Saccharomyces cerevisiae S288C: one gene and its partner. Changing the gene in region 2 together with the main gene of any one other region gives a genetic interaction. Each region holds a gene or a part of one and is shown on either strand. Other genes may lie near its edges.

Region 1 (3,872 bases), on a different chromosome or scaffold from region 2:
GCAATGGACTACATTCTCATGTGAAAAAAAGAAGTGCTGCTTCGAAGGTTCGCGACCCTTTCAAGGGACTCGCCGCGATGCAGAGAAAAAAAAAAGAAGAGATAACGTGGGGGCAGCTAAAAAAAGACGAATCGATAATGAGTCCATGACTTGAGCCGGACGGACTTATAATTCGATTCGGGCCTAGGCTTGTACAGCTGAAATAGTGTACAATATAAGGAACTAAACGATCGGAGACCAATCGGAGAGCCGGCAGTTGAATCAGGTGCTTCATCACTGGCATAACCTATCCGCAAACGGCTGATGCAGGTCTCAACGCCCTTCTGGTAAAATCAAAAAAAGTAAAAAAAACGGCTCATGCCAGCTTGCTTCCTGTCAATAGCGGTTGTTGATTTTTTCGCTTCATGCCTAAAAAGAGAAACGAGACACAGAGAGAAAACAAGAATCTAGATTAATAACGTAGGGCAGCGTAACAATAATTTACGCAGAAATGATGTGTATTATTAGGGCATAAATAAATAAATGTATGTATGTGTGTGTATGTATGAGTCGGTGAATGACTTTGGTTTTAGTGATATGAGTAGCCACATCCTTTCCCCACGTGCTTATTTAGCCAGACGTCAACGTTCGGAAATTGCAGTCCACAATGCTTGCACTTCCCCGGCACAACACCTCTATCTTCTTTCTTGGTCTTGGGCGGGTACTCGAAATGCAAAGCCTTTAGGTGATTCTTGAAAGTATCACAGCGCGAAAAAACGCCCGTTTGATGACAGTTTATTGGCTCGAAATAGAGTGATCTAGACTTGTGTGGATACACCTCCATATCCAAATTGATCAGAGTAGAGTTGTAAGGACACTTGAATGCACCTTTAATCTTGTATAGTGATTTCAATTGGTTTTTCTTCAGTAGTTTTGTTTCTTCGGAAGAGGATGAGGCAGCGAGTTTATCGTTTGAGTCGTCGCTGTCGTTGTTTGCGGAGGTGCGGGCAGTGTCATCTTGATCGTCAGCACCACTATTGTTGTCGGACTCCCTTGCGTATATTTGCATAAATTCATCTTTCCAATGGCGCTTCTTGTGCCTTATCAGATCATTGTTCCTGGCAAAGCCGCGTTGACAGATAGGGCACTTATGCGGTCTGTCCTCCGGAGTTAAATGAGTGGATTTATGCGTAGATAGGTTGGCGTAGAAGTTGTGGCAGATGGGGCATTCCTTTTTCTTTCTTTGCTTCGTTATCTTGGCGGAATCCTTTAAAGACGATGAATACCTGCTTGTATGTTCATTAGTCAATGGGGAATGAATAGACGGTAGTGCAGAGGCACTACTACTACTGTTGAGTTGCTGTTGCTGTTGTTGTTTGACGATCAAAGGTGGGAATCCACTAACGGGTAGGCTGGACACGGATTTTGATCTCGGTACGTTATCTACCGCGGTTGGCAATATACTCTGGTGTTGAGTTGGTGGTGAGGGGGTGATGGTTTTGAAACCCGTTGTGTTGTTAGGGTTGCAAAATGTTAGCTCATGTCTGTGATGATCTAGCACTGTTCTTGGCACCGGTGATGTAAAATTGGCATGCAAGGAATTTGATCTGCCGTTAAATTCTCTTTCTGCAACTGTAATTAAATTGGTGAAGGAGGATATGGGTGGCAAAATGACATGGCTTGAGCTGTTGGATGACAGCGGTGTTGGAGAAAGGCTATGAGGGAAATAGCATTTGGAATTATGTGCCAAGGCTGTATTGTCTGTAGGCGAACTCGTGATAGACTGGCATGCAGAGGAGTTATAAGAAGAGTATGATGTAGTTAATGGGGGAGGTGGAGGAGAATTCAGTGTAGAACTGAGGGTAGAGCGCGAAGACGACGTAGTACTGGACAACAATGGCAGTGATGGATCTATCAAATGGTGAATGGTGCCATTGGGAGAAGCCGTTGGGTTTGGCATTTTTTCTGGAGTATCTATAAAGGGAGGGTTTCTCCGTAAAGACATCGTCTCATGGGACATTACTGAGTCAATGCTTGATGCAAAAGATGATGATACCAGCATAGGGGAAGCCAAAGAAAAGAAGTAACAAATATTCCAAGCGCTCCAGTGTTACAGCTACTGCAAACCAAGAAAAGCAACTGACAAGAATTAGATATCCTAATCATAGGGCACCGAATTTACTTCCATGTTTTTTCCAGCTCCACTTAGAATATATATATAAATGTATAAAGACGGAAATATGCGCTTTTGAGAAATAGACAGAATAAAGAACGCACTGATGCAGCTTTAACTTTTAAGAAATGGTGCTTTTTTTTTCGCCCTCTGTTCCTCTGCGGATGGGAGCTATCAGTAGTAGAAAACAAAAGGAAACGAAGAAAAAAAATTGGAAAAGGGAAGAGTAAAACAGCGAGGAGAGCATTACGTACATAAAATAGGTTTAAGTAACCATACCACTAACAATGCCCCTAGGAAGTGACAATCTAGAGATATCCTTGAGAGTTAGCCACGGGCCGTAAGGGAAGGAAAAGACCAATCTAGCAATAAGCGCATGGGGGGTTTCCGACAGCCACTACCAAATTGTGTGGCAGCCAAGCGAGAATCAATGCGGCTATTTGAGATCTGTTCTTTTTCTATTCAAAGACTCGAATGAGGCCAACGAAAGAAGTAGTAAAAAAAATCCGGGATTCCCAATTCAGGTCATATCCGGCAAGACATTCCCGGATTTTATTTTCCTCAATGTGCTCGTGTAAGTGTCGGCCCGGAACTTGATTCCCCCCGGACTAATTAGAAGTTCCGAGAACGCGCGCAAGCCGTCCCGCGCGTAGAAGGCTAAAAAGCAGCCGGAGGAAAAAAAATAACGCAAATGTGGGCTCCCCTTCCCCTGTGCGGCCACGTCGTGCCTCCCCACCATTTGCCTCATATGCGGCCATTGCGTGTGGTGTTTTTTCTGCTCTTGTCACTGATTTTAACTACCGCGGGGTTTGACTAACAAGCAAATTGCAAAGCCGCGGCGGTTCCCGGAAAAAAAAAAAGGAAGGCCACGCTATTGGTAACCATGAAGTGTAAGGCGACGCAGGAGAGATGAAAAGAATGAAATTAAAAGAAATCCAAAAAAAAAAAAAAAAAAAAAAAAGAAAAAGAAAGAAAAAGGGGGAATAACACAGCCGCGGGTAACATGAAGCGGCGCGAGCGATACTTCCGTGTTAAGTGATATCCATCTTTCTGCGGGTAATAAGTCTAGTCAAGTCCGCTGTATTTTTTCTTTCGCTCTCGCTCTCTTTCTCTCTTCGCTCATGGAGCGGTAAAAAAAAAACATGCATATCGAGTCGAAGCCCAGCAAAATTAAAAAAAATATAGCCTTCAGTGGAAACCCAGTGATGCTCGCACACAACGTAATGGAGCATTGAAGAGCTACAGACGGTAGATAAAAAAGAAAAAGAAGCAATACAATAGGTTATTGCATACTATCATAAGCATACAGATAAAGGAGTTCTGCACATACGGTCCCTCTTTCTCTTCCTATTATTCTTCAGTCCCCTCCTCGCTCTTTTTAGATTCGACATTACAAGGTGAAATACTATTGAAGCTCAAAAACATCCATAATAAAAGGAACAATAACAATGGTATCTAGAGGCCCCGACGAATGGCTTGAAACAATAAAGAAATGCCAGGCGCTAACTGAAAACGAGATGAAACAACTGTGTGAAATGGTGAAAGAACTTTTGATGGAGGAAAGTAACATCCAGCCGGTACAGACCCCCGTTACTGTATGTGGAGACATACACGGCCAATTTCATGACTTGTTAGAGCTATTCCGTACGGCGGGTGGCTTTCCTGACGATATAAACTACATTTTTCTCGGTGATTACGTGGATCGTGGCTACTATAGTCT
Region 2 (3,195 bases):
GAGAATAACACATTAAATGAAGAGAACGAAAATGATTGTGACAGCGAGATACAGTGAAACAGCAATTCATTACAAGCTCGAAGAAGTGAGGAAGTTTAGGGCATGCCACATTTCAAAAGAGCAGCAGTATATGAAGAGCAAAAAAGAACTGGTAAATGGGGTCAACTTGTTGAAGAAACCAAAGATAGAATCCCCGAATATTCGAACAAAACTATAGCAAAGATAAGCCACTTGGACAATGGTTGTTTGTGGCCTGAGATAAAGGTCTCTTTTTCTCATCATTTGAGCATACTTCAATCGATGTGTCTTCATTTTATTATTTCTATACTTTTCTCCAAATATATCTTCGTTTTTCTTTTCGCTTTCCTTCTTCCTTCTGCCTTTCCTCTATTTATTTTGCACTCCACTCTTTTCCGTAAACCTTGCCTATCTATTATTGGATTTTTGAAAACTAAAGTATAAAGGTATGTCATAAATAATTAAATAACAAAAAAAATAGGATCATGATACAAAAAAGTGCCTTCCCCTTAGCACAGCTGATCCAACAATTTTAAGAGCTTGAAAAGCAACCTATACGTAGTTTTTTTGGCGACTGGTAAAAAAGAACTGAATAATTAATGCCTGCACTATACTGATACCAACCATTACCCCCATAATTAGTAATGAGAGCCATGTTAATCTTGACTCAGTAGAACTCACAGTATACATGTTTCTCCATTCTCTAGCCCTTAAATAATCCATTGTTTTGGTGATCTTATTCAGGTTCCTATCAATTTCCTCGATGGCGTTGTTTGCGATTATGTCCTCTTTGCTTTCATGGGAAGAAACAATTTCCTTTTCCTTTTCGAGGGTGATTTCAACTTTCTTTGGGGAAGTGCCGTAGTTATTACTCAAACAGAAAGTGTACTTACCTATACCAAACGACTTCAGTAGAAAATCAGAATGCTTCTTTTGTCTTTCAGTGACGATAACAGAGCCATCAGGGGCGGTAATATCGAAGTCTATCTCGAAATTCCCACCTGTCAAAACTTGGTAACTGACCACAAGGACATCTTTATCAGAGGATAAATCATAGTAAAGACATTCTTTGGTAAAAGCAGGTAATGATATGCCTACAGGAGCATAATTAGAGGAGAATGCATGTGTTAACAAAGATGAACTAAACAAAATCGCAATCAAAGTAAAAACGCGCATAATTCCTAGCGATGATTGGGAATATATATTTATGAAAAAACTTCACTAGCGCTCGTGAAACTACTTCAAAGGCAGCTGGGAAATAAATGTCTTCAAAGCAGAGAAGAGTTCCCAAATAGAATTCTCAGATCGTCAATCGCTCATCTTTGAGTATATCACGTCAAAAAACAGGAAACAGTGAAAAAAAAGTAGTCCATAATAAAGCGCGTTTCCGTCAATGCCGTTGGTTAATAAAGAAACAAATATGTAAAAATATAATATAAACAGGGCACTTGAGAGAGCACAAAAAAGAGCCAAACGCTACCTGATACTTTTATAGTTTTGATAATGGGGTTCTACAACTGTAGATTCCTGTCCAGACGTCTATCTGTTGAGCCTTGCAGAATAGGTAGCGCCGCTAAAAGCTATCAACAGCGATCGATTTATCACTTTGGCGCTGCTCTCACAAATGCCCCTAGTGGAAGAGAAACACCAGACAAGCTACGTTCTGACCTGCATAGTGCTTTAGAGATGGTCGATGAAATATATGACACAAATTCGACTGTAGAGGACATTGGAAACAAGGAAAAGGGAGGTCGACAAAAATATACGGAAGAAATGGACAAGGCGATTAATCTACTGAAAACAAATATAAAGAAGGAGTATAGACATGATAAGTATTTGGAGCGGACAAAGGTAGGAACGTATCCTGGTAGAAGAACATATCCTGGTAGGAGAACATATCCCGCTAGGAGAACATATCCCGCTAGCAGAACATATTCAGATAGCAATTCATACACTTTTCGGATAAATGTCCAGAAGATTAGGCACGCATTAGTACGTTACAATCAAGATGGTGTTCAAAAACACAACCAAAAGCCTCCTAGGATTGGTCATGGATTAACGAGAGTGTTATACCAACCGTTGTCGCTACAAAAATTGAGAGATAATAGGAGCAGAATGTATAATTTTGACCCTGCAGTGGAAAATATTAATCCAGAGTATTTGGAAAAGAAAAGTGAAAAAGATGTGAACACAGACTCCTCTGGAGAAGGACAAAGCAAGCCAATATTCATCACACCCCACAAAGATGAATCTCTGTTAAAGGTTGCCAAAGAACATAGAAAAAAGTACATATCTTCATCAAGTTCCATGACATCAGTACTTTCTCAGTTGCACTATTTATTATCCAATTTCAGAAGATTGAATATCATTGATTCCTCGATATCGAAAAATTTTCCTCAAAAAAACTGCAATTATTCAGAAAGTGCATATTTTCCGTCAGCAGTCATTCTGAGAAAGAAGAGAAATGGCATTTGTTCTATTGATTCAGATAGAAGTCTGGATAGGGAGATTGTGCTTTCTGTACTAGGTCATTATCTTGAAGACTTTTTAACGGAAAAGTCCCTGAAGAATAGTTCAAAAAGTGAAAATTATCACTATTCTAGTATAGATGAATTCATTGTGAGATCTCAATTGGACGCGTACGACCCAAATCTACCTGGAACGGGTGTATTTGATCTGAAGACAAGAGCAGTTTCTGCCATAAGATACGATTTATCACATGTAGAGAGTAATAACAACCAAACTGGATATGAGATAGATAAAGTTTATGGGGAATTTGAGTCTTTGGAAAGAGAATATTTTGAACTAATCAGGTCTGCCCTTCTAAAGTATTCTTTGCAAGCTAGAATTGGCAAAATGGACGGTATTTTCGTTGCATACCACAATATTTCTAAGATGTTTGGATTCCAATATCTACCTTTGGACGAATTAGATTATATAATCCATTCTTCGTATAACAGCAAATTCGACAGTTTGTTAAAGGAGAAGAATGATATCACAAAAGGGATATATGGTGAGGAGGACTACATTCTACACTATGACAGGGACGATAGGAAAATTGCTTGCTTGGTGGCTAATAGGGAATTTAAGATGTCTATGAATCTGTTCAGTAATATTTTGAAACACGTTGAGCAGTTACTTAACTCAAGTAATACGAAATGGGAAAAATGCAAAATA

What was found. Genes that interact genetically often act in the same process or in processes that back each other up.
Region 1: mutations in ERP4 (region 2) and STP4 together harm fitness more than expected from each alone (negative genetic interaction), as found in Saccharomyces cerevisiae (one large-scale study listed by BioGRID).

What each region holds. Positions count from the first base shown.
Region 1 is NC_001136.10:366,171-370,042, forward strand, and holds STP4 (Stp4p), read right to left. Parts: upstream 2,042-3,872; coding exon 569-2,041; downstream 1-568. Other genes in the region: type 2A-related serine/threonine-protein phosphatase SIT4, read left to right, coding at 3,601-3,872.
Region 2 is NC_001147.6:359,891-363,085, forward strand, and holds ERP4 (Erp4p), read right to left. Parts: upstream 1,195-3,195; coding exon 571-1,194; downstream 1-570. Other genes in the region: protein phosphatase 2A regulatory subunit RTS1, read left to right, coding at 1-57; YOR015W (uncharacterized protein), read left to right, coding at 103-462; PET127 (Pet127p), read left to right, coding at 1,522-3,195. UniProt on the Saccharomyces cerevisiae protein: Involved in vesicular protein trafficking.